Linked DNA regions of Schizosaccharomyces pombe. The gene in region 2 interacts genetically with the main gene of each other region. Each region holds a gene or a part of one and is shown on either strand. Other genes may lie near its edges.

Region 1 (8,321 bases), 510 kb from region 2:
ACTTTGCGATTTTAGGGGCACACTTCTTCGTGAAGAAATGATTGGAGAATTTAAGCAGTTTATCTGGCGTCCGAGACCTCCTTCTCCATTGACAAAGGAAGACATGAAGAAAATTAGAAAGAAACTTAAGGATTATAATCGTTTGTTTGATGAAGAGGATATCGCCGAACAGAGTTCCGCCAATCGTGAATTGGCAGCCCGTAGAAGACAGCTCATTAGTGAGTGGCAGAAATATAGGGATGAGGTTATTGCTCGGGTTGCGGAAGAACGTGCAATCACTGGCCAACCTGCTATCACTGTTCCTGCTGAAGAAGAAGAAATAATTCAGGAAACGGTTGAGGAAGTAATCTCTGAAGAGATAGAACCCGTTGAAGATTAAGGGCTTTACGCTACCTTTTGTCATAAAAAAATTGGGGCCTTCTTCGAAATCGGATGTTACTTGATTAAAATCATGATCTTGTTGCCGCAATTATGTGTTCCTGGACGTGTATTTGCGTTTCGATTGGTACTGTATGGGGAAATTTATATTTACATTAGTCCTTTTAAATGGAATTGCATTTGCGTTACATACTACTGTATATAAGTAATATAGCGTTCTTAATAGTTTTGTGAATGTCCGAGTATTATTTGACTCAAGAAAGTTTCTAAATTCATATTGTCTTAATGCACTCTAGAGATTTAAACATAAACATTTTATTGGTAAATAAAGTATAAACAAGCCAATTTAAAGAGATAATTGATAGCTGCAGAATGAGAAAATATATCATTCATAAAGAGCGCATAAAAATTAGAAACACTACAAAAACTCAACGTTTGATATGAGTACAAACAAAAGTTAAGCCACTAAGACAAATTCCCATACCAAGCGGATGAATTGCCGTCAGAAGCGTCTAAAACTCGTCCTGCTATGGGCTTGCTTTTATCCGTCGTAACCGTTTTTTTCAACCGAGTGCCAGTATGAATTTGTTGAAGTAAAGCACTACGATCTCCTGGATTGGGAACAGAAGGAGCCGATGAAGCAGGAAGAGGTGGTGGTGGAGCAGACGGTGGACCGGCAGGCATTGGCGGTGCAGATGGAGGTGGTGGTACTGACATAGGAGGAGGTGGTGGTGTTGGAGCAGACATTTGAGGTGGTGCCGCCGATTGAGGTCTTACAGGAGGTGTTGAAACAGGATGAGCAGGAGCCATACCACCGAATAATTTGGCGGCTAAGGCAGCTGCATCTTTACTTGAACGTATGTCATCTTCGCTATCTTCTTCTTCTTCATCACCATGTTGACTCCAATTGTCAGAATCGTGACCACTAGGTTGAAGAGGAGAAGGAGCTGGTGGTTGCATTTTAGCGAATGGATTGAAATGATTTGAAGGGGCTGACGGAACAGCAGGAACGGCTAAAGAAGGTTGACCTGCAGCATTCATTGCCAACGGAGAACCTGAATTATTGACAGGACCCATCCTAGGTGAAAAAGATTGCGAAGTTCCCAAGTTGGTAGCAGGAGCTATATTATTTATCGCTTGAGGCTTCTGAACAGGTTCTTGAGGTGCATAAGGTGATGATCTATGAGGCATGGAGTTGTCTGCTGGTGCAGATGACAAAGCTGCCGCAGAAGGATGCTGAGGTGCAGGCGGCGCTGGGCTAGGAACATGAGCGAAAGAAGATTGGGATGGAGGTAATGTAGAGCTAGGAGCAGTGGCAGGAGCCACCGAAGAGGGAGGCTGTTGAGCTACAGAGGGTATCATACTTGGAACAGGAACATTTGGTACCGCTGGAGGTAGCTGTGAAACAGGAGCAGGGGGTGCAGGCGCAGATGATGGAGCTGGAGCATTTGTAACCATTCCGGGCGCCTTCGGCTGAACCGGAGCTACAGCATGCATTGGTGCCGGAGGTACCACTTGTGGAGCATGGTTTGAAGGTGCACCTGGATTGGTTGGTTGACTTGCCTTAAGGGGCATAGTGGAGGTTTCATCTTCAATTGAGGAAACATTGGATCCTGAAGAAACAGAGCCAAATGAATCGCGTCTTTCAGGAGCAGATGGTCTTGCATTAACAGCATTGTGAGATGGCATTGCGTTCATAGGTTGAACGGGAGGTGGTGGAGCATGCACATTCGATGAGTCCGGTATTTGCGGTTTAGGAGAAGTGGGAACAGCTGGCCTGACAGGTGGTTCAAGTGACATTTTTGAAAACTGATTTTCCAGTGGTGCTTGTTGAGGTATGGGAGCTGTGTTAAAGGACGTAGAAGTAGTAGATGGGTCTTTAACAGCTGCTGTTGGAATTTGTTTAGTCGGCTGGGGGTGCTGAACAGTGGGAACCACAGCTGGAGGAGTAGAAATAGAAGCTGAAACAGCCGGTACATTAGAAGAAACTGCTGAAGCTTGTTTTCCGGGTTGAATCTGTTGAGCAGTGGGTGCGGCGACTGGTGTGCTAGTTGCAGAATTGACTGGTGCAGGAGAAGGTGTACCCTTTTGACGAGGTTTTATACCAAGAGCGGCCAAACGCTCATTCATACGACGTTGGGCTTCAGCCTTGATACGAGCAGCACGATCTTCAAGATTAGACGAAGCTGATGGTGATTCAGAAGTAGCTTTAACCTCGGGAGTGTGCGTATTTGATTCAATGGGCTTCGATTGTTGAACTGTGGAAACAGAGGGAGGGTTCAAAGTTTGAGGTGCTGCTGGGGCAGGTACAGGCAGCTCTTTGACAACACGCGTGACAGATTCATCAACAACGTTCTGAGATAGCCAAGCATCATCATTTGCCGCTGAAGGTAGAAGTTTTGCTCTAATGTTATTCTCAATGTTGGTAACATAATTTTTCATTTGCTCAAGCGCAGCCTTTGATTCATTCTTTTGTTTCTCCATTTCTGCTAACTTCGAAGAAATTGTTCTATTACGTTCTTGGGTAGCCTCTGGAGATGTTTGGTCATAAGAATTTTTAGTATCCTCTGCTTGGAAAAGTTTGAGCGACAAGCTGGCAATTGTATGATCAACTTCATTAATATCAGAAAGCATTTTAGAGACACGGGTGCTCAGCTCTTCTAATCGCACATTCATAGAAGCAACTTCAGGTGACTTGTTAGAAGTAGAAAGTCGATTAATCTCATCTTGAACAGATTTAATGCGATAAATTAAAGAGTCATTTTGAACGTCATTGGCAGGAGTAGCAGCCAGTTTCTTATCTTCAAGAGCATTGACAACAAGACTCTTTTCATGAATTCGTTTTTTAAGAGAAGCTATTTCAGAATCAATATCATTAATAATAGGAGGAGCAGATTCAATCTTTTCTTCCTTAAAATCTCTTCTTCGAGCACTAGAAACATATGCAGATGCATCAGAATCATTGTGCCGATACAATGTAGCATCCTTTTCAGTCGTTTCGCTAGGATTGTCATAAAACGAATTCTTCTTAAGTTTGCTTTGATTTTCGGCGCCAAAAGGTTTTCTGTTACTCGTGTCATTCTTAATTAGGTTCTTAACTTGATTCAACGACTCAGTAAAGTTTCTAGTAGAAGGAGGAATTAACTCAGGGGGAAGCACGGCAGGTACTTCATTACCATTCAATTTGCGATATATCAAATGAAGGGCAACAGCAAATTCATCACGGTCTAAAGAACCCTTGTCACCGTGATCACATAAGTTCCAAATATGCTCAAGCTCAGTCCGGGTTAACTTGCTTTGACCAAAAATTTCCAAAACTGCGTTGCCACCAAGGGTACCCTTTCGCTCCTTGTCCCAAGCATCAAAAATTTGGTCATAAATTCGTTTTTCTTCTTTGCTGATAGCCCAAGGAATATCTTTCTTCTGCTGAAACGTATTGTTAAGGCCTCCAGAAGGAGCATTTGGCATCATTTGCTGTCCTAATGCTTCAATTCCAGGAAGATTACTTAAAGGAGTATTAATGAAGCCCCATTGACCAGGCATTCCGGTTGGTTGAGGTGCCATACCACCAGTGCGCTGGGGAAGCATAGGACCACCAGTCATCTGAGGTTGCATACCGGTTCTCTGAGGTGCCATCGGCTGCATTCCAGTTCTTTGGGGAGCCATCGGTTGCTGCATACCTGGCATCTGAGGCTGCATACCAGTTCTTTGAGGCATCATGGGTTGCATGCCAGTTCGTTGAGGCGCCATCGGTTGTTGCATGCCTGGCATTTGAGGCTGCATACCGGTTCTTTGAGGCATCATGGGTTGCATACCGGTTCTCTGAGGCGCCATCGGCTGCATTCCAGTTCTTTGGGGAGCCATCGGTTGCTGCATACCTGGCATTTGAGGCTGCATACCAGTTCTCTGAGGCATCATGGGTTGCATACCGGTTCTTTGGGGAGCCATCGGTTGTTGCATACCTGGCATTTGAGGCTGCATACCAGTTCTCTGAGGCATCATGGGTTGCATGCCGGTTCTTTGGGGAGCCATCGGTTGCTGCATACCAGTTCTTTGAGGCATCATGGGTTGCATGCCAGTTCTTTGGGGAGCCATCGGTTGCTGCATACCTGGCATTTGAGGCTGCATACCAGTTCTCTGAGGCATCATGGGTTGCATGCCGGTTCTTTGGGGAGCCATAGGTTGTTGAAATCCAGTCATTTGAGGTTGCATACCAGTTCTTTGAGGCATCATGGGTTGCATGCCAGTTCTTTGAGGAGCCATCGGTTGCTGCAAACCCGGCATCATGGGCTGCATGCCAGTTCTTTGAGGAACCATAGGTTGTTGAAATCCAGTCATCTGTGGTTGCAAACCAGTTCTTTGAGGCATCATGGGTTGTTGAAATCCAGTCATTTGGGGCTGCATGCCAGTTCTTTGAGGAACCATAGGTTGTTGAAATCCAGTCATCTGTGGTTGCAAACCAGTTCTTTGAGGCATCATGGGTTGTTGAAATCCAGTCATTTGGGGCTGCATGCCAGTTCTTTGAGGAATCATAGGTTGTTGAAATCCGGTCATCTGTGGCTGCATTCCAGTGCGCTGTGGCATCATCGCCTGCGGCTGAAATCCGGTTATTTGAGAAGGTATACCAGCAGCTTGCTGGAATCCACCAAACATTTGAGCTGCCATCTGCTGAGCAGCAGCTTGTGGAATTGGCTGAGTTGGTTTTGCGTAATTTTCATCCAACGAAAATGAAATTGCATCTACCATGGCATTTACCTCATTAAGAATCCCATCCGGAACCTTATCAGGTATGGGCTTCCCTGTAAGTCCTAAGTTACAAAGATACATAGCCAATACAAATTGAGGAAACAAAAGGCGACCAGAGCGGGTGGTATCTGATAACCTCCAAATTTTTGATAACTGAACGGTAGGAAGCTTAGAACGAACAAGTATTGCTTTACCGATCTCAGATGACATTGCTTCTTCTCTACCAACAGCAGATTTGAAAAGTTGCTCAAATTTGGCCTGATCAGCAGCAGAGACGAATGATAATCTAGTGTCCATCGCTTTACTATTATGAATTTGACCAGTCTTTTGAGGTTTAAGGGGCTGTGCAGCAGGCATGAAGGACGCAGTTTGCTGAGGTTGAACAAAAGATGCAAAAGGTCCAGTAGGTTGAGCTTGCAAATATCCAGTGGGTTGAGGTGGCATTACTACACCAGTTTGCTGAGGTTGAACAAATCCAGTAGGTTGTGGAGCAAACGATGGAGCAGCCCCAAAGGGTTGAGTCTGCATAAAGCCAGTTGCTTGTGGAGCAAATCCACCAGTCTTTTGGGGTTGCATAAAGTTATTCATTTGAGGTTGATATGCCGGCATTGCTCCAGTCCGTTGAGGCTGTATAAAGCCTGCACCACCAGTCCTTTGCGGTTGCATAAATGAAGCAGGCTGTTGCGACATAAACCCTGTAGGTTGCGGTTGCACAAACCCCGTAGGTTGGGGGGCAAATCCAGGTATAGCTCCAGTTTGCTGAGGTTGCATAAAACCTGTATTGTTCATTGTTTGAGGCATCATCCCATTATAGCCATACATTTGCTGCTGCTGTTGGCCATAATCGGCTACAGACCCCGTAGGCTGAGAAGCATATCCGAATCCATTATTAAACTGAGTAGCTGGTTGTGATTGCTGAAAAGGTAGCATCGTATTACCAGCATAGCCATCAGGTTGATAAGGCTGTTGGTATGGATATGTTTGCTGCTGGTAATTCATACCGCCTTGATTTATAGGCATACCATAGCTGTCAAAACCTGGTTGAACTCCATTATTCGCGCCATATCCGTACATCGATCCATTCATCTGATTTGGATATGACATACTACGATATGAAGGAGAAATTATTGAATGAGCACCCTCTTATTAAGCCAAATTAATAATATTAAATGTTCCTTTGGCCTTCTTTGCTCTTTGGTAGTTGACAAGCCGACGGTAAGTCTACATTAACCAAAGTAGCACATTAACGCAAACCCTGTACCTCGTTATTCCGATAAAGGTTTATGTAAATTTATATCAAGTAGAACATGTAAATGGCAATACATGTCAATACATTAAGATATTCTTTTTATTTACGTTAACATCTTATGTTTTTAGTTGATTCAACTTTGATTATGCTTACGATGCCTAACAATGCTCTTCAACGTGTACGGATATCGGATTTCCAAAAAAAAAATAATAAAATAAAATAAAAGGCAATTTAACAAATAGGTAAATTCATAGAAAATGTGAGTTTAACAGGTATTGTGATTCTGCAAAATAGATTGATTTTAAAAAACCCGCGCTGAAGATGAATGTCATTCATACAATAAAGTAAGACAAACCTAACTATAATGATCCCCTAACAAAAGCACGACCACTCGTTTGCACGAATTACTTTAAGGTAGACGTGTATAAACAACTTACAAAATACCGATTTCAGCCTAGCAAACTTCAATATTTACATCGTAAAAAAAAGGAAAGATAAAGACGGTATTTATCATATAGAAGTCTTTATTAAAGAGTTGGCATTCGAAAAAAAATAAAAGCTTATCATTCAGATAACATTAAGACAGTTATGCTTACAAAATGTTATTTAAGTTAGAAGGGAAAGTGGTGGGAATCGGGAAGATAAGGGCACATTTCTTCTCAATTTACAATACTCAGACATTTGATATCATAAATACTGATTCTCGTAAAAAGGTAACACCAGTAAGTTGACTAAAGAAAGAAAACAGTGTTCCATACCAAAATCAAATCATTTTTCGCTAAATATAAACCATAAAAAGTGAGGTCGAACTTAGCTAGTTGACAAAGTAAGAAAGAAAAAGAATGACAGCAAATAGAAGATATAAAAAAGGTGGTATGTTTCTTCTATGTTCGTCAAGCTTTTCGCTATCTACAAATCCTCAAGAGCTTGGTGAACTTCATCTAATTCAGCCTTGACCTTAGTATACTTGTCAGTCATTTCTTCTAGTTTCTGTTCCATATCATCACGCTCACGCTCTAGAGATTGGACGCGACGTTCAAAATGCTCAGCCTTAACATCAGTTTGACGCATCTTTTCGGTGGTTTCGCGAAGTAGCTTGTCATTAGTTTCTAGTTCTTCCTCTAAAAGCTCAACTTTACGGCTCAACTGCTCGGCTTCCGTCTTTTGAATATCTTCATTGTCGGCTTTGAGACGTAACTGCTTAGTTTCTTCTTCTAACTCTTCGAGTTGAGACTCGGCGGCTTCGCTTTTCCTCGAAAGAGACTCATATTCTTGCTCTTTAAGAGAAAGTTGAAGTTCAACTTCTTTCAACTTGGCTTCAGCTGCTTCAGCACGAGCGACAGCCTCATCAGTCTCAGCACGAGCGGCATTAATTTTCTAAATAAAAAGCAAATATTAGCAACTTGATTTTCCAATGAAAAGCTATCATCTCATACCTCTCTAAGCTTATCCATTTTCCTACTGTTTCCTTCTTTCCTTGATGGTGGAGGGAAGATACCGATGGGTGTGTTTGACATGCATATACCACGGTAAGGGTGGTGAATTAATTGACGGTACAAGAAAGTTCTATTTACTAATTTATTACAAAGAAATACACACAAGCTCTACAGTAAAGCGCTTTGTTCATCAAAGAACAAAGAAGTTGAGGCTTTGCTTACAACACACCAGATTGTTAATTTCATCAAAGAAATAAGCGTTAAAAGAGCAAAGTTAAAAACAGTAGTCAAACATTTGTAAATTATAATCGAAGTGTTCCTGCAATAGATTTTCAAGTTTGGAATGAAGTGATTTAAACAATGCCTGATTTTTGTATTTATGACTGAAATTTTAAGAGCTCTCTACTGCTAAAGAAAAATGGCATATATCAATAATATTTAATCATTTAGTTATACAATTATAAAGAGGTCCGCTTGTTAATTTCATATTTACACACATACAGACTAGGAAT
Region 2 (4,491 bases):
TTTAATGATTCGCAGTTTATTAAACCAGAATCTTTTACGATAGCAGGATTTCAAAATTTTTTTAGAACGTTAGGCCATTATATCTACGTCGGTGCCTATCCAACACGGTATGCATTCTTGGTTTTTTGGTCGTTTTGTATAGTTCAGGCTGTCATGTACTTAACTCTTCCTGGTGTTCGGACGCAAGGTTTGCCTTTAAAGCATCGCAATAACGAACGTCTTCCTTACTTATGCAATGCTATCTGGTCTTTTTACACGACAATTGTTATTCTTGCCGTTCTTCACGTGACCCACGTATTTCCAATTACTACATTTATCGACATGTTCGGTCCTTTGATGAGCGTTGCAATAATAACCGCTTTTGTCTGTACCTTTGTTTTGTACACTGGAACTTTGCTTTTTGGTGATCGACTTTTTGATAAACCTCATCGGTTATCTGGAAATCCCATCTACGATGCCTTTATGGGAGCTTGCTTGAATCCTCGCCTTGGCAAATTGCTTGATTTTAAAATGTTCTTTGAAGTTCGTATCCCTTGGTTTATCCTATTCTTTATTTCCGTTGGTGCTGCTGTTCGTCAATATGAAACTTATGGCACTGTAAGTCCTCAGGTACTTTTCGTTTGTCTTGGCCATTATTTGTATGCAAACGCGTGCTCGAAGGGAGAGCAGTTGATTGTTCCAACTTGGGACATGGCTTATGAAAAGTTTGGTTTTATGCTTATCTTTTGGAACATGGCTGGGGTCCCATTTACTTATTCACACTGCACCCTTTACCTTTTTTCGCATGATCCATCTGTTTACAACTGGTCAACTCAATATACAACCGGTATTTATGTTTTGCTTCTTTGCTGTTATTATATATTTGATACTTGCAATGGTCAAAAAAATCATTTCCGTAATCAAATTTATGGTACTGAGGTTCATCGCAAAACATTTCCCCAACTTCCCTGGCTTATCATCAAGAACCCTACCTTTATTCGTTGTGCAAATGGCGGTACTTTGTTGACTTCAGGTTGGTATAGGTACGCTCGTAAAATTCATTATACTGCTGATTTCTTTCAATCATTGTCATGGGCATTGATCACCGGTTTTCAGTCCCCTCTACCTTACTTTTACCCATGCTTTTTCTTTGTAGTCCTTGTGCATCGTGTTTCACGTGATATTAAAAAGTGCAAAGCTAAGTATGGGGCTGATTTCGATGAGTATTGCCGTATATGCCCTTACTTATTTATTCCCTATATATTTTAGAAATGTCTTTTTAGTCCCTTCTTTACTTAATAAATTGGCTATTCAAAATTCCACTTGAAGTGTTTTTCTACTTTAAAATTCAGTTAATTTTTGTGAAAGTTCTCAAATTTGATTGAGTAGCTGGAACATTCCTTAAGTTATGAACGAACAAAGTAAGCAGCTCTGACCGTTTTTTATACAATCTATTTCTAGACTTAAAAATTATTAACTTCCAAGTCTTTTTGCATAAAGATTTTTGGAAATAGCGTAAGGAATAGCTAATAAATAGTAACAATCATCTTGTTTCTTCATAGCGATCCATTTACAGTTAAATTTTTTTTTGCATTAGTTCACTCACTTGCTAGATATATAAATTAGTGTGGAATATTTAGGCGGTAGTGCATACGCATAACCATTTGCTATTATTTTTTTGTAGAACTGTATGTTTTTTCGCTTATATTTAATAAGGGTCATGCAACATAATAATAAGAAATTATAGACTCTGCTTGTTTAGAGTAGTGCGCCACCCTTACTTGGGGCGACGGTATCTACTGATGCGAGTAGCCCTCCCCTAACCAAACCAGTGCCAACCACACTAGCTTACCCGCTATCAGTAAATAAATAATATGGTATGAAATATTTTTGTTAACTTTACATCGTGTTTATTTAACATACATTAGTCTTTTTCAGGTGTCAAAGTCTCTCCCGAATGCTTGGAAGCTTTCCAAGAGCTCAAGCTTGGAAAGTCACTCCGTTACGTAGTTTTCAAAATGAACGATACCAAGAGTAAGTGACGAAAACGATTTAGATGGAATTTGAGAAAGTCCAATATCCCTTTTTTTAAAAATAAATTTATTTATCTACATTGATATATATTTTATGTTTGTAATGTCTTTCTATGTCGTTTTTATAATTATGTGGAACCTTTCACTAATTTTTTTTTGTTTAGCTGAAATTGTTGTTGAAAAGAAGAGTACGGATAAGGACTTCGATACTTTCCTTGGTGACTTGCCTGAAAAGGATTGCCGTTATGCTATCTATGATTTTGAGTTCAATCTCGGAGAAGGTGTTCGTAACAAGATTATCTTTATTAGCTGGTCTCCTGATGTTGCTCCCATTAAATCTAAGATGGTTTACTCTTCTTCTAAAGATACTTTACGTCGCGCTTTTACTGGAATCGGTACTGACATCCAAGCAACTGATTTCTCCGAAGTTGCTTATGAGACAGTTCTTGAGAAGGTTACTCGTAAGTAAAACACTTTTGGTTACGATTTCTTGACTCATGCGTAATACGAAATGAAATTAAATAACTTCGTTTCGGTATGCAAACCGATCCTTCAACGCTCCTTAAATATCTTTTTCTATATATTTAGAACTATAAATACAAAGATTTAAGTGTACGTTGGTTTCCTGTTGATATTTAATTTGTCAATAGTATATCTACTTTAAAAAATTTGTCATGTGATAACGGATGAGTCGGTATATGAAAAACACTGCAAGTTATTTGCCAATGTAATTGACAAGCAATCATAGAGAAATTAGTTCTACGCAGTTTCCACCACTAGCTGAAATGTTTGAGTGCCTGGGTGCTTGCAGGTTTTTATTCATCTACTTCAAGTATGGTATAGTAAGTAAGCTTAGTTTTATTTTCTCAGTTCCGACTTTTTAATTCTGTAGATTTCATCTACCACTATTTAGTCATTGAAATTGTTACAAATATTCCTCTATATATAATGATTCTGCATTCCTAAAAATGCTAATTAACAAATTACGAAATCCAACGATCTACAAAGTAATGCCATTCCATATTAATATAACAATTGCTGTTCATTCGCTATCATTTTAAAATGATGTTTTCATTAGTTTGCTCATTGATCACATAGCATGTATTTTACCAGCTATTTTCAACGTACTAGTCTACTTGATCTGTTATTGATCAAATGTAAGTGAATTGCTGCTTTTATTGTTATTATAATCAATAAAGTAAGCAAATTTACACTGGGGCACAATCAAACATTGGTATGCAAAGAACATTAATTCGATATACCAATACGATGTCAAAAAAATTGAAGGATCTCCCTGTCAGCTCAACGTTCACATCAAATCTTCCGCCTGATCCACTGGTACCGACCGTACAGGCAATGAAAAAGGCTGATGACAGAATCTTACATGTTCCTCGATTTGTGGAAGGCGGCGGCTTATTTACTTATTTGACTCCATCACTAAAAGCCAATTCTCAATTATTAGCTTATAGCCCTTCGTCCGTGAAGTCATTAGGACTCGAAGAATCTGAAACTCAAACTGAAGCTTTTCAACAGCTTGTTGTCGGTTCTAACGTTGATGTCAATAAGTGTTGTCCTTGGGCGCAATGTTATGGAGGATACCAATTTGGGGATTGGGCAGGTCAGTTGGGTGATGGCCGCGTAGTATCCTTATGCGAACTTACCAACCCGGAAACTGGAAAACGCTTTGAGATTCAAGTCAAAGGCGCAGGAAGAACACCATACTCTCGATTTGCAGATGGAAAGGCTGTTTTAAGATCTAGCATTCGAGAATATTTATGTTGTGAAGCTTTATATGCTCTAGGCATTCCAACAACACAGGCTCTGGCAATTTCCAATCTTGAAGGTGTTGTAGCACAACGTGAGACTGTAGAGCCTTGCGCCGTTGTTTGCCGTATGGCCCCTTCTTGGATCAGAATTGGGACTTTCGATCTCCAGGGGATTAATAATCAAATTGAGTCTTTACGGAAATTAGCCGACTATTGTCTAAATTTCGTTTTAAAAGATGGATTTCATGGTGGAGATACTGGAAATCGCTACGAAAAACTTCTTCGAGATGTTGCATATCGAAATGCTAAAACTGTAGCCAAATGGCAAGCATATGGATTTATGAATGGTGTTTTGAATACTGATAATACCAGTATACTGGGACTATCAATTGATTATGGACCTTTTGGATTTTTAGATGTTTACAACCCATCTTTTACACCTAATCATGACGATGTATTTTTGCGATATTCATATCGCAACCAACCTGATATTATTATTTGGAATTTATCAAAATTAGCATCTGCTTTGGTTGAGTTAATTGGAGCTTGCGACAAAGTTGATGACTTGCAATATATGGAACAACTTCATAACTCTACTGATTTGTTAAAAAAGGCGTTTGCTTATACTTCTGAAGTTTTTGAAAAGATAGTAGAAGAGTATAAAAATATTGTCCAGAATGATTTCTATGATCTTATGTTCAAACGAGTGGGTC
Region 3 (4,165 bases), 2.2 Mb from region 2:
AACAGAAGCAACTGAAACACATGTTACTAATTGTTCTGTATATTTGGATCGTCCTCGTATCCATACTGCTAAGTACCTTTTGGGACATATTATCGATGACGAAGAAATTATAACTACCCCAGCTAGTGTTTGTTCAGAAGATTATGCTCAAGAAGTTAATTTGTATTCTCAGGGAGGATGTCCCAGTGATGATGATGAAGAGGAAAACATTATGTCTGCGTCCATTTATGCTGAACGTATGATCACCCTTGTCGGCGATGTGAACGGTAAAACCGCCTTATTAATTGACGATACAATTGAAAATCCAACAGCTTTCATTGTCGCTTCCGAACATTTGGTTAAGCGATGTGGAGCTAAAAGAGTTATAGTGATTGGTACCCATGGAATTTTTCAAAATAAATGTTTAAAAGATTTGCAATCTTGTGAATACATTGAACAGGTAATGTCAAATATCACGGAAAGCTGACTAACGTAACAATAGATTGTTGTCACCAATACGTATCCTATCAAACCACAAGCAGTCCTGGAATGTGACAAACTTACTGTTATTGATATTAGTGGGGTACTTGCAGAGGCTATTCGCCGTACCCATAACGGTGAAAGTATTAGCTTCTTGTTTAAGAAAGCGTTCTAAAATTTTCGTACTACTTTATTTATCATGTTAATTTAATTAGTTATTTTAACTACAATATGCTGCTCTAGAAGACTTGGTTTTGAGTCAAAGTTATAGGATATCAAAAAGTAACGTTTTGTTTAATATCACTGTTTCTTACCTTGGTGTGAAGAATGTCTACCAATGAATAGAAAAATCTGTACGCTAATTATTTACCTAATTTAAGAAGTAGCACTATTTTGTAACAAATATAGTTGCCCGTATTGTGGGACTTCTTTAAATTCGAGGGTTTTCACGTTTTATTAATGCATAAAAATATTAAAAAAAATAATAATTAAAAATTGGTAGCAATTTAGAAGTTACTTTAAAATTTATTAGGCCAGTTCAACTCTTTCATTGGCATTTTAATATACCAAAACACTTAATAATGTAAGTAAATTGCAAACATAATTTGTTAAATTCAGAAAAGCTGAGTTTCTTCAAATGAACTATCAAAAACCAAAGTTTTATTAAAAAAAAAAAAAAAAAAAAAGAATCTCAAAAGATTAAAAGAAAATGTCGTTTAACTTCTTAACAATACATTTGTTTACAACTTGTTTTTATTTTTTTGTCATATTTTCAACTTTGCGAAACACACTATATATACTATATAGTTTGCTACAAATCAAGCAACAGCTCCCGTGGCCAAGCTGGTTAAGGCCTCATGCTTATATGATACTCCCCTTAGGAGGTGTGTTACGTGGAAATCGCGAGTTCGATCCTCGCCGGGAGCACTTTTTTTGCAAAGAATTTTTACACAGTCAAGATTGTTGGCTTGTCTAGTGTATGGATCATTGTAAAATAATTTTTATAAGTATATGTAGTACTTGATTTTTTGCAATTGCTTATGTAGATAAATCTATCACGTTACCCTCCACTTAATGAACTGACTTCTTCCTATTCAAACCCTCTTTTTTGCGAAAAGATAAATATCTAAATATTGTTGTGTTTATTTACATATAATGTAATTTGGCTCAAGTTAGTAGTTAAAATGTTTGCACTGCTTTTAATTTGTACGCAATATTATTTCGCAAACGGAAAGTAAAAAGTTTAACATTTGTTATTTACACATGGCAATCTTCTACAAACGATATACATCCTACTAACAGAAACCTGTTCAAAAATGAGAAAGGATCCAAAACTACTTTTATCTGATAATTTAAATGAAATAGCAGTAATATTGATTGTCATGTCAAAATCTAATACCCAACACCAACAAGATAATCAGCTAAAGCCTCTATTGCGTTGTTAATAATTGTGCTAATTAAGAATAGTAAACTGAGAAAAACTTACCAGTAATCTTGGCGGCTTCTCCTGGAAGGGTTGTTTCAGGGTAGTGAGAAACCAAAATGCAAAGCTTAGTAGCTACACAAATAATGCCCTCTTTCTGTAATTTACCATAGATAGAACGTCCTTCAGCTCGAATAGTGATGTATTTTTGACCGGCTAAAATGATACCAGTGCCAAACATACTAGGTGGATCTTGGAAACCAGCGGCAAGGCCTTGGATTTCCTGAGGAGAAAGATTGAATCCAGCAGAAGCAGCCCAAACACTGTCACCAGCACGAGAGACGATAGCAGCGCGATCGATTTTTCCAGTACCGAGCAAAGAAGTATCAACGTAAGCTAAATAAGTTAGATATTATTCGTAATAATATCTAGAGGATATACAAACCTTGCCAAGACATTTTTGCAAATCTGGGTTTAGAGATAGGAAAACTTGTAGTAGTAGGGTGACGGAAAGTAGCAGCTACCCGTTCTACATGCGTTTGAAACCTATGACCAATTTAAGGTGCTCTAAGACGTTCTAACATTGATAAAAAAATTCTTATAAAGTTTCCCTCATTTTTAGAAATAATATGAAACTTATCGCAGTTGACTTCGTTAGAGGTTTACCATTCAAGATCGTGTGAATGTATTGTGTAAGGATTGTTATGCTTAATACGACTTCAGAAGTATTCAATAGAATTTCAGAACTCTTGTTTAGAGGTTCAACAACACAATTAGAGATACTTCGTTCAGTAATAGATTTTTTAAAGAAAACAACTTCAAACCATACACCGATAGATTGAGCTCGTACTAGCGACCAAAAATTCGATTACACACATCATGTCTGTTTTCAGTCGATGGAAAAAAGGCGACCATATGAAACTGAAGAACAAAGCTTGCAGAAATAGCTTACTGTAAACGTGTATAATGGTCAACAGATTCAGACTTTCGAAGCAAAGTATCTTTACAATTGAAGATAATTACCAAACGGTAAACTACATTATTTCCGATTAACGTTTGTAACAAAACCACTATGAAGTAACTCAGATGTCTATTGATCTATGGAAACCACCTGATAGTTAAATACTTTCTTCAAAGACAAATAGTCATTCATTTTATTGAAATTAGATCGCCCTATTTTTCACCGATGCACAACAACTTTAATTCATGTCTGAACGATTCCGATTTTCGGTGCGTTCATTGCGTCTTTTAACCGAGCCACCCTTATCACGACGTCTGTTCTCCTGAGGATTAGTGTGTTGGGTCTTCTGCTCATATAGCTTTTCATTTGCCTCATTCAATTGTGCAGTTTTCTCGCTAAGAGAAACAGTCAAGCTTTCCAGCTTGTTAATCTCAACACGTTCAAAAATGATGGCACCGTGAACTTGATCAAGAGCAGCATGGATCTCACGTTTAGATAATAACCGAGAAACAATAACAGTAACACGCTGAACAGGAAGATCAAATGTCGTAGCCAAAAATTCAAGAGAAACAGAATCGTAAAAAGCAGCATATGCTAATAAGTATGTACGTAGTCCCTCTTCCCGAATCTTCTCACTAAGCATTTGCTTAATTTTGTCAGCATCAGGCATTAAGCTCCAAATCTTAATAGCATGAATAAATTCTTCACAACGACGCCATTCACCATCTGCCAATGCTTTCGAAGCTTGCATTATATACTCGCGGGTATTTTCAGGAGGACCAACGAAAAGCTGACGATCAATGTATTCAAGCATACGACGGAAGGGTCGGCTGATTACACGCTTTCTAGAATCTGAAGCAGTAGAGCTAGCAGCTGCCATTGCGGGAATCTCCATCAACATAGAACAAGTCAAGTAAACACATTCAAGCAGTTCTAGATTTATGTGCATATGGAAAGGTAAAACCAACTGCTTATCCAAACGATCCTGATCAGGTGTAAATTGTCCAAACTTTGGTGCTTGTATGCCTTGTCCAAGGAGTTCCTTTACACGACCAGTAGTAGAGATGTCTTGAAGAGCATACTGTGTTTCTTGAACCATACCGTTGCGGAAAGCACACAAACCAATTTGAACCATAGTGCGATTGTGTAAAATTTGAGTAGCAATGTCGGCAGCATGCACGCTATCTTGTAAATGCGACATAAGTAACATATCACGAGCCTTGTAAAAACGATTTTGCAATGCTTCATGATAAATATGACACAGCATAGCACGGGTACGAAGTAAACTGACACCATTATTATAAAGATAGACACATAGGGAA
Region 4 (7,273 bases), 1.7 Mb from region 2:
ATACAATAATCCGGTAGTTGTACTAGATTTTCAGTCACTATACCCCTCTATTATAATTGCATATAATCTTTGTTATTCCACATGTCTTGGACCTGTGAAAATAGTCAATGGAAAAGTTAAGCTTGGATTTATGTTTCATTCAAGCAATCCAAACATTGTGAATTTAATAAAAAATGATGTATATATCTCCCCTAATGGTTATGCATACGTTAAAGAGAATGTTAGAAAGTCTTTGCTCGCTAAAATGCTAGAGGAACTTATTGAAACCAGAAATATGGTGAAAAGAGGCATGAAAGATTGTGACTCGGACTATGTCAACAAAGTATTGAATAGTCGGCAACTGGCCCTAAAATTGATTGCAAACGTAACTTACGGATATACTTCAGCGTCATTTTCAGGAAGAATGCCGTGTTCAGAAATCGCAGATACTATTGTGGAAACAGGACGTGAGATACTTAGCTATTCACTAGAATACATAAATACTTTAGATTTTTGTCATGCAAAGGTCGTTTATGGTGATACCGATAGCTTATTTGTTGAATTACCTGGAGCGACTAAAGAGCAAGCTTTCGACATCGGACAGCAGCTAGCAAACAACATTACTTCCAGATTTCCTTCTCCAATTCGACTTAAATTTGAAAAAATTTACTTTCCTTGTTTCTTGTTAGCGAAAAAAAGATATGTAGGGTTCAAATTTGAATCAGTTAGTCAAAAAGCTCCAATTTTTGAAGCGAAAGGCATTGAGACAGTTCGAAGGGATGGTACTCCTGTTCAACAGCAGCTCCTTCGTCGTTGCCTTGAAATACTTTTTAAGACAAAGGATTTGTCAACGGTCAAAAAAGAATTTCAGAACGTATGTTATCAAATTATGAGTGGAAACGTTCCTGTTATGGATTTTTGTTTTTCAAAAGAAGTTCGTCTAGAAAAATATAAAGAATTAAGTACTGCTCCTCCTGGAGCAGTTATGGCTAGACGGTTGATGACCAAAGATCCTAGGAGGGAACCTCAATATGGAGAACGTGTTCCATATTTGATTATCGCTGCTGCTCCTGGTACCACCTTGGCGAACCGCTCAGTTGCACCCGAAGAATTTCTGTCTTCGAGTTTTTCTCAACTTGATATAAATTATTATATCAACAATAGTTTGATACCTCCATTAGATCGATTTCTAAACTTGTTAGGGGCTAGTGCCCAGTCATGGTATCATGAAATGCCCAAACCACGTACCAGTTTAAAATTGACTGAAACAGTGAAAGGAGGTATTCAAAAAAAGACTTTGGACACTTTTCTGATGGAGAAGCTTTGCTCTTCTTGCTTGAAGAATAATATTGAAATTATTCCTGATAAAATTAACTCCCTCTGCAGTGATTGCTTAAAAAATCCTTGTGCTACTATTTCTAAAGCTGTTACGCAGCACAATGCTTATAACAAAAAACTTTCCTTGCTATTTGATATTTGTCGAGGCTGCAGTAAGCTTTCATCTAGTGATCCAGTTCTTTGCAAGTCAAATAGCTGTAAGGTGTACTATGATAGGGCGAAAACTGAGAATTATGCGAAAGTACAGGCAGAAATGTTAACGAAGACTCTTGGTTCTTTAGACTGGTAAATCATTATAACTTCAAATATTGGTGTGAAGGACTTGAAATTAAAATACATCAGGCATTTGTTCTCTTATCACCTGCTAGTTTATTCATCTACGTATTATTTATTACAATTATTTATTTTTTTTAGAAGGTTATATCGATAACTAAAAATATTAATATCATCATGTTATTGGATTTTTTTTTTTTAGTTAAAATTTAGTAAACCTCTTCGTATTCTAGGGTGCGTAGCAATTCTTTATTTACTTTTTACTGTCCGCAATACTACGCTGTGATACTTTACGTCGCGTGTCACTATATGTCAAGTGCACTGTTTTGATTTATCAACTTGACATGATAAGTTATCAAGGTACGGTTACTAATTATGATAAAGTAACTATCACTTACTACATTCAAATTCTTAACACTATATATTGAGATAAACTGAAGTGAGGACGGGAATCGGTTTTTAGCTACGTTAGTGATAAGTAACAGATAATGTGTATTAGAATACTTACATCAATTGCTACTTATATTACCTCGTATTGCAATATAACAATCACAAGGAAGATTCAATACTGTTTTTAAGTATCGTTAAAATAGATACCGAAATACGTAGCTGATATTTGCGAGACAAATTACTTCGTAATTATCAAAATTCGTACGGGACACGGATGTCGTAGTTTTGAAACAGAACCAATTTCTATAGTAAGAACGGACAGAAGACAATCTTGTACATAGCACTACGATATTTGTATTTTACCAGAAATTGTTAGGATTTGAATTGGCAAATTTTTAATTACCAAAAGTGAGAAATCGAAAAGTACACGATGAGTTCGTTTCGACTGCAATCCGATCACATGCAGTCAGACGCATCGTTGATGACAAGCGTGCGGAAGGCTACTAGCATCGATGAAACAGCCCCAAAGCGAAAGCACGTTCGTAGCTGCATCATTTTCACTTGGGATCATCATACAGCCAGGCCTTTTTGGACTGCTATAAAAGTTCAGCCATTGCTTGCAAACGAAGTTCAAACTTTCAAGGCGTTAATTACCATACATCGTGTCTTGCAAGAAGGTCATAAGTCTGCACTTGTTGATTCTCAAAGTGAGAAAGGCTGGCTTAAAACTTGTGAACGACAGTATGATGGTGAAAGTAGTCCAAAGGGCTATAGCGATTTAATTCGTGATTATGTGGATTATTTACTTGATAAGCTTTCTTTTCATGCTCAACATCCGGAATTTAATGGTACTTTTGAGTATAAAGAATACATTAGTCTTAGGCAAGTCGATGACCCTAATGAAGGTTATGAAACTGTATACGACATGATGAATCTTCAGGATCATATTGATGAATTTCAAAAACAGCTTTTTTCTAACTTCAAGCGTTCAAATAAAAATGAATGTAGAATTGCAGCCCTTGTGCCTCTAGTTCAGGAGTCATATGGTATTTATCGATTTTTAACTAGTATGTTACGTGCTTTATATAGCACAGTTGATGCCCCAGAGACTTTGGAACCTTTGAAGCATAGATATAAGTCACAACACCATAGGCTTCGTCAATTTTACGCGGATTGTTCAAATCTTCGATATTTGACTAGTCTCATTTCAGTCCCTCGTCTTCCACATGATCCCCCCGATTTGGAAGGTGATGACAATATCCCTGATCTTCCTAAGAGACCTGCTTCAATTGCTCCCCAACCCACTGGCGCCTCGACCATTGCTCCTCAGCCTACTGGTACTTCTCCATCTCCGCCGGTTGAAATGAATTTTCCTGATACTAGCGACATTACTCCGGCTTATAGTGAACCTGAACCTATTCAAGATTTCTGGTCTGATCCTACTTTAGATCAACAATTGGCTGCTCAGCAAGCGGCTCAGCAAGCTGCTCAACAACAAGCAGAGTTAGCGGCTCAGCAGGCCGCAGCACAGCAGGCTCAATTAGCAGCTCAGCAAGCTGCCGAAATGGAGCGTCAACGGATGGCCGCACAGCAACATCAGCAGGCCTTGGAGGCAATTCAAATGGCACAAGCTGAACAACAGCGTATTGCGCAAGAACAACTTGCTCAGCAACAATTTCAAATGCAAACACAAGGACAGTTGGCTGAACTTGAGCAACAGCTTCTTGCTACTCGAGGACAACTTGAACAGAGCAATGTGTTACTTAATCAATATGATGCTAGAGTGAGAACTCTTGAAAATGAGCTGAGCCAGGCTGGCGTTAACTTGCAGGAGCAAATACATCAAAATGATGATCTTATTGAATCTTTAAAAAATCAGATTCTTACATGGAAAAACAAGTACGAAGCATTAGCCAAATTATATACACAACTTCGTCAGGAACACTTAGATTTACTTTCGAAATATAAACAAATTCAGCTCAAAGCAAGTTCTGCGCAAGAGGCTATTGACAAGAAAGAAAAAATGGAAAGAGAAATGAAGAATAAAAACTTGGAACTTGCTGATATGATTTTGGAAAGAGACAGGGCTCGTCACGAACTCGAGACTATGCATCGTAGTCAACGAGACAAGCAAGAAAGCACTGAGCGTGAATTACGTTTACTTCAGGAAAAGGCTGCTTCCCTTGAGCGCAATAAATCATCTGAAGTATCAAATTTGCTTAGTCGTTATAATACAGAAGTTGCTCATTTAGAAGATGCTCTTCATTCAAAGGATCGTGAGCTAGCCAACTTAGGTGTTGAATTGAAGTCTACTGAAAATCGGTACCGCCAACTTTTGCAGGAAAAGGAAGAAGAGCTGGAGATTCAAAAAGCAGCTGTCGACGAGTCTCTGTTACAGCTTAGCAAATTACAATTGGATCGTAATGACATTGATCAAGCGATGGATACTCAAATTGACGAGCTTTTGAAATCGCAGCTGGAGAAGCTTGATGACATAGTGGATTCTGTTTTGGCTACTGGTATCCAACGTTTAGACACTAGTTTGTATGAACTGGATTCACCGATGCATGCCGGTAATCAATATGCTACTCCTGAATTTATTCTATCTACTATTGAAAATGCTAGTAACAATGCTACTGATTTTTCGACAGCATTCAATAACTATTTTGCTGATGGGCCTAACGCTGACCATTCTGAGGTCATCAATGGAGTCAATCTTTTCTCCACGGCCATATACGAAGTTGCCAATAATGCTAAAGGTTTAAGTAGAACAACTGGTGACGACCAAGGATCGGATCGGTTTGTTGGCTTATCTCGGGATTTGGTAAATATGGCCAAACGGTTCCTTTCCAGTTTATTTTCCGTCAACACAAGAAAAATGGATGTAAATGTTAAAACAGATCTTGTAATTGGTGAAAATATAGAGTTACAACGCTATTTACAACAACTTACACAGTACTCTGAAAAATTCCTGAACAAAGAATCGGAAAACACTGTGGGATTACTCAATGCTCCCGGTGAAAACATTGAAGAACTTGTCGATAATCAACTGGCGGAAACAGCACAGGCTATTCAACAGGCTATTTTAAGATTACAAAATATCGCAGCAAAACCCAAAGACGATAGTTTGTCCCCTTCAGAACTGCAAGTTCACGATTCTTTGTTAAGCGCATCAATTGCCATTACCGAGGCTATTGCCAGATTAATTAAAGCAGCAACTGCTTCACAGGCAGAGATTGTTGCTCAAGGAAGAGGTTCCAGTTCACGTGGTGCATTTTATAAAAAACATAACCGCTGGACGGAAGGCCTTATATCAGCTGCGAAAGCCGTTGCGCGTGCTACAACTACTTTAATCGAAACTGCTGATGGAGTCGTAAACGGTACATCTAGTTTTGAGCATTTGATTGTCGCATGTAATGGTGTTAGCGCCGCAACTGCACAATTGGTTGCAGCCTCTCGTGTAAAAGCAAATTTCGCCTCTAAGGTTCAAGATCATCTTGAGGATGCTGCGAAAGCTGTTACGGAGGCCTGTAAGGCATTGGTTCGTCAAGTGGAGTCTGTTGCTCTCAAAGCTAAAGAGGTGCAGCATGAAGACTTCTCTTCATTGGGTGTTCATGAATATCGTCGTAAAGAAATTGAGCAACAGGTGCAAATTTTGAAGTTGGAAAATGATTTAGTCGCTGCCCGACGTCGTCTTTTTGATATGAGAAAAACATCTTATCATGTTGCCGAAGAGTAATTAAGTCTTTTCGATCCTTTTTATTTTTATGAATTAATTTTGGAAAGCCTTAAATACTCAGCTATTAGTGCTTCTATTTTTGCTAGGTCGATACGGGATGATAAATACATTGCGTTCTTTTCCGACCAATAGGCAGTATTAGTATATTTAAATTTTAAATGTAAATAAATACCATTACATATTGTGACACTTGTAGATCCTACTGATATACTAATGATCAAAGCAGAATGGCTAACCTACCGCACTATATCTCTTAAAGTAAAACAAACATAATCCAGATTTATTTTTCTACAACTTTTTCTTTTTCCTCCTCTCGGTTTTTTTCTCTTTCTTTTGCTCCTTCTTTTGTTCTTTCTTTTCTCGTTGTTCTTTTAAGCGCTGTTTTCTTTCAGCCAGTAGAGCCTCATCTTCAGGATTTGCGCAAGCAACTTCGAATAGTTTCCATGAAAGAATTAAACCTAGACCAGTCGCGCCAAAAACATAAAGATCTAAAGTAATCAATGTGGTCTGAACAAGTATGAATGTGATTATCATCTTAATGATGATCTCACGGCCTGACACATTGCTACGAACTTCTTTACGAATACCCAAAGGAAACCATCGAATTTTACCAGGGGGTCCAAATGAAATATGATAATTCCGTTTCGTGGGATTGTTAGAAGGACCCTTGGGCTTATAAATGTGAATTAAATTGATAAATGCTCCAATAAGGAAAATAGCTAGTCCAATTTTGTTATTCTTCGGATTCGAGAAAGTCTTTGTCAATTGATACGGAGATTCTTCTTCACTCATTGTAATTTATTTTCTATTATAGGAGATATAAAAGAAGAACCGTTCGTTCCAAATTAATTTGATCAAAGTATGGTGAATGAAACCGTCGGGGTGGAGGTTAGGAAAAATGTGGTACTACAGACAAAAAATAGAATAATTTGCCTCTCCCATAAACAGATATTCAAGATGTATTTTATCGTATGTTCTCAAATTACCTAGACGCTAACACTAATAAATAAATTTGAAAATATTATTGGTAAGGTGGTCACATGGAGGAACTAGTCAACGAAATAGGTATCTGCCCTTGAGCTTGCAGTAGACTAATTAAATTGAAGACGACTGTAATATTCAAGTTTTATCTTTATGTCATCAAGTAATTACCAAACAATGGGGAAACGAATGAAGTTGTTGAATTTCATTAGCATACACATGTTTTCGTCAACTCCAACGTTACTCTCCCTATCCCAACTATTTAAAGTACGGTGGGCAGAGAGCATTCTGTTAACTACAAATATCATTATGGAATCTATCATTGACGCTCATTGCCATCCAACTGATGCACCGCAAGAATTACATTTGGTTGCTAATCTTTCTGTTGGTAAATTAATAGTAATGGGAACCCGGCCGACAGATCAAAAGTATGTCGAACAACTTGCGAAAGAATACCCTGGTAAAGTAATACCTAGTTTTGGGATACATCCATGGTTTTCTTATTATTTGTACGATGATTTGGATAAAGATTTGCAAAGTAGTGAAACGAGAAAAAAGAAGCATTACGAAAAA

The links.
Region 1: mutations in adf1 (region 2) and pan1 impair growth when combined (synthetic growth defect), as found in Schizosaccharomyces pombe (one study listed by BioGRID).
Region 3: mutations in adf1 (region 2) and cdc3 are lethal when combined (synthetic lethality), as found in Schizosaccharomyces pombe (one study listed by BioGRID).
Region 4: mutations in adf1 (region 2) and end4 impair growth when combined (synthetic growth defect), as found in Schizosaccharomyces pombe (one study listed by BioGRID).

Annotation. Positions count from the first base shown.
Region 1 is NC_003424.3:4,312,378-4,320,698, forward strand, and holds pan1 (actin cortical patch component protein PanI), read right to left. Parts: upstream 6,331-8,321; 5' UTR 6,229-6,330; coding exon 844-6,228; 3' UTR 741-843; downstream 1-740. Other genes in the region: tif302 (translation initiation factor eIF3b (p84)), read left to right, coding at 1-379; cdc8 (tropomyosin), read right to left, coding at 7,283-7,750, 7,810-7,827.
Region 2 is NC_003424.3:4,823,440-4,827,930, reverse strand, and holds adf1 (cofilin), read left to right. Parts: upstream 1-1,804; 5' UTR 1,805-1,853; coding exon 1,854-1,856; intron 1,857-1,907; coding exon 1,908-2,013; intron 2,014-2,176; coding exon 2,177-2,481; 3' UTR 2,482-2,674; downstream 2,675-4,491. Other genes in the region: C-24(28) sterol reductase Erg4, read left to right, coding at 1-1,248; fmp40 (adenylyltransferase), read left to right, coding at 3,282-4,491. UniProt on the Schizosaccharomyces pombe protein: Controls reversibly actin polymerization and depolymerization in a pH-sensitive manner. It has the ability to bind G- and F-actin in a 1:1 ratio of cofilin to actin. Binding to F-actin is regulated by tropomyosin.
Region 3 is NC_003424.3:2,577,139-2,581,303, forward strand, and holds cdc3 (profilin), read right to left. Parts: upstream 2,388-4,165; 5' UTR 2,341-2,387; coding exon 2,328-2,340; intron 2,279-2,327; coding exon 1,946-2,278; intron 1,890-1,945; coding exon 1,852-1,889; 3' UTR 1,818-1,851; downstream 1-1,817. Other genes in the region: SPOM_SPAC4A8.14 (ribose-phosphate pyrophosphokinase), read left to right, coding at 1-439, 482-634; tif303 (translation initiation factor eIF3c), read right to left, coding at 3,082-4,165. UniProt on the Schizosaccharomyces pombe protein: Binds to actin and affects the structure of the cytoskeleton. At high concentrations, profilin prevents the polymerization of actin, whereas it enhances it at low concentrations. By binding to PIP2, it inhibits the formation of IP3 and DG.
Region 4 is NC_003424.3:3,132,715-3,139,987, forward strand, and holds end4 (clathrin adaptor End4), read left to right. Parts: upstream 1-2,272; 5' UTR 2,273-2,410; coding exon 2,411-5,719; 3' UTR 5,720-5,952; downstream 5,953-7,273. Other genes in the region: DNA polymerase zeta catalytic subunit Rev3, read left to right, coding at 1-1,606; SPOM_SPAC688.12C (uncharacterized protein), read right to left, coding at 6,008-6,511; scn3 (TatD DNase family Scn1), read left to right, coding at 7,010-7,273. UniProt on the Schizosaccharomyces pombe protein: Required for cellular morphogenesis and polarization of the cortical cytoskeleton. Required for establishment of new polarized growth zones where it acts in actin organization.